Elephas maximus indicus: one gene and its partner. The main gene of each other region encodes a partner of the protein of the gene in region 2 in a complex. Links are inferred from orthologs where the notes say so. Each region holds a gene or a part of one and is shown on either strand. Other genes may lie near its edges.

Region 1 (3,742 bases), on a different chromosome or scaffold from region 2:
CAGGCATCTGGGATGCTGCCCCACCCAGGCCATACCTGAAAGGACTCCTCTCCTCTCCCCTCCCTTCCTTCTTCCCTGCTCCCCCCTTCTTTGAGGGAGCTGGGCCAGGGTCTGATGACACACCATCCTGGCAGTAAAGCAGCACCAAGGGTGACACCCACCCCCAAAGTGTGGACTGCTTCAAGTTCAGGGACTCTCCACACCCCTTCCCTGGGCCACCTTCCCCTCGGCCTCTTCTTCTGACCCAGGCCAGTCAAGAAGCTGGACTCAGAGGGTTGTGAGCCATGGCAGGGGTAGATCAGCTGCTATGGGCACATAGGGTAAACTGGGGAAATGTAAACAGGGCTAGTCTCTGAGCCGCTGGGGTGGGGAGGGCAGAAGGGTGCTACAACCTTTCTGACTGGCTGTACACACAGTGCGCACAACACACACACACACACACACACACACACACAATCACTGTCCTAAGGTAACCACCGAGCTTTCAGCTCAGTCTGAGCGGAGCTCCAGGCGCAGGAGCAATAACAAAAGCCTGCAATCCTTCTGCAGCCAGGTTCCCTCCAAACCTGCTAAGCCCCGCCCTGCTGGCCATCAACTCTCCACCCTCCTCCACCCTCCACTTACTCAACACAACAAACCGGCTCAGTGGTGTGGTAAAAAGCATGTCTTGGGAGAGGGAAGGGAAAAAGGCCCACCAAGTTAGTCACTGCAGCTCTCAGGAGGGCAGCAGAGCTGTCTGTCCACCACTGGCTGGCCAAGAGAGCAGGTCCAGTATCTGGGAAAGTGTCCAGCCAGCTCAGACTACGCACTAGCCTCCCGGACTGCAAATCCCTGTCCCCACAGCCTACCATTCTTGGCAGCGCTGAACCTGAGATTGGTACAACCTGCCTCACAGAAGGAAGTGAAATTCGGCCCTCTCTTTGTGACCTCACTAGCTGCCTGTACTATTCAAGTTGTTGATATGAGTTTCTCGGTGATAAAGAAGTTCCTCTTGCTCCACCTGATGGCTCTTGGAAGTCTGCACTTGGAGCCACCCAGCATCTTCTGCTCCCAGCCCAGCCCCGGTACACACACACACACACACCCCAGGAACCCCTTTGCCCCTGGGGCCAGGAGCATCAACCACCTCTGTGGTTAAAGATATGGACAGACAGTTTGTCACTGTCAGACTCAATTAGAGATCTCTGGGGATTCTGTCCCCCAGTCTCTTGCCTTTGAAGAACAAGTCAAATGGTTTGCGGGTTGGTGAAGTACTTGAAGGAATCTCAGTGTAATTCAGAAATCCTTGTTCACCCAAATACACACTCTCTCTTGGGTGCTTGCCTCAACTCTCCCTCCCTGAGCTACCTATGGTCCTGTCTCCACCCTCCTCCCTGGAGAATGAGATGCCTGCCAGGATGGCAAAGCAGGCACTATCTTAGGATAGTGTTTCCCAAAGGGGAGGGCACTCCAGCTTATCAGCACCAGGAAACAAAGTTTTCCGTTGAATGGACCAAGAGCTGTCCTGCCAGTCACCTGGCAGGGGCTTCCCTCCTGCCCTTCAACCCAGAGTGATGGCTACAACCTAAGAGGGGGCCCTCCAAGGGGCAATCACAAGCAGGAGTCATTGTCTGGTTTTGCCTTTGAAGCCTGTCACCTACCTCTCGCCCAGGCAAAGCCCCAAAGTTAGACCCTTGCCTGGGCTGGAGAGTGGGGGAGGTGCAGCCAGAAGGTGTGGCTCTGTAAACCCCAGGGACCTCTTCCACTCCCCAGGTACTGCAGGTGGATCTCCTGTGGTAGAAGGTCCCGAGGCATGCTGGGCAAATTCAAGTTTAAGCCAGAATAGCGCTTAGAAGAGACCTTCTGCCTCTTCCCCTGAGCTGAAGAAGCCATGTCCTGACCGGTGTGAGGGGGACACTTCCTGACACCACCACGAGGGATCACAGCCTCTAAGGGCTCTAACAGGGATGCTGAACTTAGGCTCCTCCCAGGAGAGAGCAGTGACTAGACACTGGTCCTTGACTGTGGCTAAAGTCTGGGAACACACACACACACACACCTGGGTGACTCCAGGAAAGAGTGTCAGTCTCCGGGTCGTGACGCCAGGGCTCCGCGCCAGGGTCCAGCGTGACGAGCACTCGGGGGCTTGGCGCCCAGATTCGATTGGGAAGGAGGGAAAAAGCTCAGCTGTTAAGGAGAGGAGGCTTCAGGCTCCGCAGGACGCCCACAACTTCCCGCTCTACCCCAAAGTCAGACCCAGAGGATGGGCCGTTCTTGGGCGCCCAGGTCCGCTCAGCAGTGCACCCCCTCCTGCCCACCAAGACCCAACTCCTCCGAATCCCAAACGCTACCCTCAAGTTCCCTCTTGCGGCAGCGCACCCAGATGTGGGCTGTGCACCCCGTTCCCGTACCCCAGCGTCCCAGTACTTCATGGTCACCCCAAACGCCCGCAGCCCAATTCTTCCCGGGCCCCCACGCGCAGCGCGACTTTGCTCCCCACTTGCCCGAGGAGGTGCGATCCAACTCCGCCCAGCCCCCGGCCGCCCGGGCGCTCACCGGGCAGCGGCGGCAGGCGCGGCGAACGGACGGCGGCGGCAGCAAGCGCTGGCGGGCGCTGGTGGACGAGACTCAACACCGTGCGGTATTGTTTCCAAAATACCCCCGCTCGGGGCATCCTGCAAACAGCTGATGAGGCTCCGCCCCCTGGGGCGTCACGCCGAGGGCTGGCCAATGGCGAGTGAATCCCCAAGTCCCGGGCTGGGCGGCTGCCAGGGACGGTCACGAATGTGCGAACTTTCCCTTGGAAACATTGCAAGGGGCCGAGCAAAATTCCGACCTCCGCCAGAAGCGCAGTTAGAGCGCCGTCCTCCAAACAGATTCAGTTCTAAGGCGGGCTCAGAAGCAGCAGAAGAACCAGAGAGCCCTGCACGTATTGCCCATTGCCTTCGAGTCCATTCTGACTCCTAGCGAACATACAGGACAGAGTAGAACTGCCCCACAGGGTTTCCAAGAAGCGCCTGGTGGATTCTAACTGCCCACCTTTTGGTTGTCAGCCATAGCTCTTAACCATTACGCTGGGGCACCAAAGTGACTTTCGTCCAGGGCTTTGAACCGGTTTGAACCGGTTCGGCAATGGACAAGGAAGCCTAAGCGGAACAGACCCGAATATTTACAATGTGGGAGGTCCAGAAAAGGAAAAATTAGAGTGGAAGCCCTGGAATGGGAGACTCAGAAGAGGTGTAGGGATCTATTTAAGGAGCCTGATGGTGAGATTGAATTATGGCAGGACTGTGGAGGGCGACACCTTCAAAGCAGCACAGTCAGCCCCCAAATTTGATTGGGGCACAGCTCTTCCCGACTCTGCTCAAAATCTGGAGAGAGATGGTTGCTATGCAATGCATACTGCTGCCCTTGTTTTCTAAGAGGGTGATTAGGTTTCTAACAAGGCTTCCCCGCCTCCCTTTCCCACCCCACCCCCCACCCAGTTCACCCAAATTTTAAAAATTCAGGTTTGCTCTGAATTCTCTTCCGTGGCCAGGACTGAACTGGAAAGAACCGGTTTAAAACCGTGCTTTCAACTTTTCTTTCTGGGGAATGGGCTGGGAAATTGTCATGTCCAGAAACCAAGGTAGGAGGGGGCAGGAAGCTTTTAGACTCGACAACGTTGATCTGTGGGTGCAAGGTGGATCCCCGTCTGGTGGCAAAGCGTCCTTCCACCTGTGGGGTGATTCAGGGCAAAACTCTAGCTCCAAATCTGTGCAAA
Region 2 (3,742 bases):
CAGAAATGTGGACTGATTCTGATTTGCAAACGTTAATGTTTGCATCTAAAAATTTGGCTCAAAGCAAATTCAACTTCTTTCAACAAGCTCAGCACTTCGAGAACATATTTTATTAACCTTTTAGTGATATTATTTAATGCAAGAAAAAGACTTCTGAGGGAAAGAAAAAAATGAATGAAAAGCGCCCCCTGGCATACTATTTTTCTCACTCCCTATCCAAAGGATGATAAAAAAATTCTAAGTTTGACTTTCTTACAGAAGATTTATAGCATTAGGCTGACTAACACGATCATTTTAAGGGAAATTCCTGTAATTCTGCCAGTCTTAAAAACACGATTTCGTTATTTATTTATTTTCAAGAGCAGCATTTCGTTTAGGTTTTAAAAGTATGTTCCGAGTCGCAAAATACTAAGCACCAATCGTAAGTACCATTACAACTCTGCTTGCGCTGTAAAGAGCAAGTAAACATTTTATACAGCAGTGAAGGTGACCAGGAAACAGCGGAAAAGCTATTTGAACCCCTCCCCCTCCATTATACCCGAGAATGCAAGTGTCCCGCATCTCAGATCAAACAGAGCCTTGGTCTCACTGACGTAACCAGTAATCCTATCCACCTCTCACACTGCGGAGGCCGGCAGGGCCAGCGGCTGCCGCCAAGTACACCACTCATCAGAGCCTGTCCCGTTCCACCCCCGCGTTTCAGTCATGCTTTCCAGAAATGGGGTCACTCACTCAGTAACTATTACACACACTCAGCCTAGCATCCTGTAATCCCCCAAAGTCCGCTGTAGGGAAAGAAGACAGCAAAAAGTAAAGAAAGAAGAATGGCAGACGCGCCACCATCAGGAACTGATTTTCCACTCCGAAAACCAAAACCAAACCAAACCGTTGCCATCTAGTAGATTCTGACTCATAGCGACCCTAAAGGACAGAGCAGAACAGAGTAGAAGTGCCCCACAGGGTTTCCAACCCAGCAGTGTTTCGTTCTGCTGTGCATAAGGTCGCTATGAGTCGGAACCAACTCCACGGTACCTAACAACAACAACTACAATCTTTAAGGAAGCAGACTACTACATCTTTCTCCTGCGGAGCGGCTGGTGGGTTTCAACCGCCGACCTTTTGGTTAGCAGCCGAGCGCTTAACCACTGCGCCACCAGGGCTCCTTCCACTCCGGAGATGCACCCTAATAACCTGGAATGGGTCTTGTCTGGGTCATTTTCGCAAACCCTGAGTTCGTGCTGGGATCGGCTGCGAAAAGCTGGTGGCTGGGATGTAGCCAGGGCAATTCTGTTTGGTCCTGTTGCGGGCCGGAAAGGGCACGCACAAGGTACTCGGGTGGGTGTCTCAGGGACGGTCACCAGATCCCAGGGTAGGAAAACCAGAAAGGCCTTTAGGGCGGCCGTTGATCTCCTTGACTATCACCTTCTCGCCTCTATGGGCAGGAAACTCAAGTTTAACTCGCAGGGACAGAGTCCTCGAGCTCAGCGACCTCAGAAGCGGATGGGGGGGCACCTCAGGATCCCCCTTTCTCCTTTGCAGCAGCAGCTGCGGCAGATGGAAGGAAGCAAAAACCCTAGGCTGTCCAGCACCCCTTACCCGAAAGCCCTACACGTCGCCACCCCTGTCCCAGGCCCTTCCTGCCTCCGTGCGCCCGTGTTCCCGTAGCAACCCCCGACCCCGAACCCACTCGAGAGCCCCTGCTTCTCGGGGAACCTAATCCATACCCTTCGGCCACCCCGCAAAGTCGCCCAGGTCCAGGGAAGCCCCCGACCGGCAGGGCCAAAGTTCCCAACTCCCCGCCGGTCCCCGCTCCGCCTCCCGGGTCCCCCACGCAAACTTGATGACAATCGGCACCTCGCGAAGCCCCAGCGCCCACTCCAAACCTCACGCGCCGCCACCCCAAGAGCCCCTCGAGGAAGCGAGGGTAGGCGACGGTGCGGGTGGGAGCAACAGCCAGAGACGGACAAGCCAACCAGCCCCAAGTCCCCGAACCGGAATCCCGGACCGAGGGAGACGCGAGCCGAGAGGAAGCAGCCGAGTGGCCGGGCGCCGGGAAGGAGCGAGCCGGCCGGGCGAGGGGTGGGGGCTCGCGCCGCCGGGCCGCCCCGCCGCACTCACCTCTGCGCTGTCGGACGGGCTCTCCACAGCCATCTTCTGCCACGGGTCCGCCAGCTGCGCCAGCGGCATCTTCCCCCCCGGCCCGCCGCCTTCACCGCCTCCTCCCGCCCCGCCCGCCCCGCTCCGTCGCCGCCCGAGCCCCACGGCAGCAGCAGCAGCAGCGGCAGCGGCAGCGACGGCGGTGGCGGCCCCGCAGAGGGCTCGGCACCGACACTGGTCTCCCGGACCGCGCGCCCAGCCCAAGACGTCCGCGCGCTTAGGTAGAGCCTCGCGCCGCCGCCGGGCACGGGGTCTCGCCCCTTTCTTCCTCTCCTCCTTCCGCCGCCGCGACTACAGCTCCGCCCCCCCCCCCCGCCCGTTCCCGCGCCCGCTCCAAGCAGAACAGCGGCCGCCGCGCGCTCCCCACTTCCGCTCACAACATGGCGCCTAAGCGATACCTGTCTCTCAGAGCGAGGCTAGCCGCCGCCGCGCGCACCCGGGGCGGGGCTTGAGGCGGCCACGCCCGTAGCCCGCCGCGCTGCCCGCCTCCCGGCTCCCTCCCTTCTTCCCAGCCCCTGTTTCGGGGCCTCGCCTACTTTCAGGAAGGGCGAGTCCGAGAGATCTGGGGGCGTCCAAGGGAGGCGAGGGAAAGAGGAGGGGAAAGGCAGGAGGGGCGGGCGGCTGGGAGCCTGTAACTACCACAGGTCTGAGCAGGTCGGAGACTCCTAGGGAAAGATAGAGAGCAGTGGTCCCCCCCGGAGGAGGGAGCTCAGTCAGGCGTGGGGGCCGGGGGGCGCAGACCCAGGCCGGGTGTCCTGGCGTGTCCTTTTGGCCAGCTGTCTCCGGGGGTGCCTGTGGGCGCGTCTGGTCTGGGAGCACGTCCTGTAAGTGCCCAAGACCCGCCCTTTCCAGGGTCACAGGCTGGGCATTCACCTGCCCCACCCCCAGATGGGGACTTGGGAAGCTCGGTGCCGGGGAGCCCCCGGGGTTCGGCTCCCAGTTGGATTCAAGGCTCTCTAAGTTGACGCTTTTGTGTTAAATGTTTGATATTCGGGTTGCATTGTCTTGCTTCGGTCCCCCCCCCCCGCCCCATCCCCTCCTCACGTCCGCCTTGCCCTCAGGCTTCGGTCCTGACCTCCAAAGTCCCTACTCCTTACGGCCTGAATGTTCGCGAAGGAATACATAGGGAGGTTACTGAAGGCTGCTGCTCTCGGCAGAGGTCGAGGAGTTATTAAAAAAATATCTTGTAGGCAGATGCGCGGGTTTCCTGCTCCTCCGTTGACTTTAAATAAAAGATTATATTAAAAAGTCAGGTTGACCGTGGGCGGAGGAGGAGAGGGCCGAGGGGGTTCTGACTCCTTCTCCAGGTCAGGATGGGAGATCTAAGGAAACCCACCCCGAGACGGCGACGGAGTCCCGGGGGACGAGGAGAGCTCGGGAGCGGGAGTCTCCAGTGGGTCCCGGAAGCCGGCGAGGTTTGACCCCGGGCCACCGTGCCAGGTGCACTGGCGCGCTGAGTGTGCCTGCACGGGCAGAAAATGTAAAAGTCGCCAAGCTGAGTGGAAAGCTACCGCAGCCACTGGCCAAGCGCCCTGCAAGGGGGAAGAAGAAAGCCAAAGGAACTCTATGGGCCGGCCAGTCCCTT

Evidence for each region. Proteins that work in one complex are often made in the same cells at the same time.
Region 1: the proteins of RPS6KA3 (region 2) and BMF are in contact, whole or in part, in a crystal structure (PDB 8R58), measured with the Homo sapiens proteins. The link is inferred for Elephas maximus indicus from reciprocal best matches to the Homo sapiens genes RPS6KA3 and BMF. Residues at the interface, in NP_004577.1 of Homo sapiens: Trp252, Phe259, Phe268, Leu281, Ala283, Lys284, Leu285, Gly286, Met287, Pro288, Leu299, Arg300, Phe303, Lys304, Arg305, Asn306, Asn309; in NP_001003940.1 of Homo sapiens: Glu8, Leu10, Glu11, Asp12, Asp13, Val14, Phe15, Gln16, Pro17.

The regions. Positions count from the first base shown.
Region 1 is NC_064828.1:15,928,290-15,932,031, reverse strand, and holds the start of BMF (bcl-2-modifying factor), read right to left. Parts: upstream 2,649-3,742; 5' UTR 2,536-2,648; exon of another isoform or gene 2,167-2,535; 5' UTR 2,039-2,166; intron 1-2,038. UniProt on the Homo sapiens protein: May play a role in apoptosis. Isoform 1 seems to be the main initiator.
Region 2 is NC_064846.1:159,177,160-159,180,901, reverse strand, and holds the start of RPS6KA3 (ribosomal protein S6 kinase alpha-3), read right to left. Parts: upstream 2,449-3,742; 5' UTR 2,188-2,448; coding exon 2,119-2,187; intron 1-2,118. UniProt on the Homo sapiens protein: Serine/threonine-protein kinase that acts downstream of ERK (MAPK1/ERK2 and MAPK3/ERK1) signaling and mediates mitogenic and stress-induced activation of the transcription factors CREB1, ETV1/ER81 and NR4A1/NUR77, regulates translation through RPS6 and EIF4B phosphorylation, and mediates cellular proliferation, survival, and differentiation by modulating mTOR signaling and repressing pro-apoptotic function of BAD and DAPK1.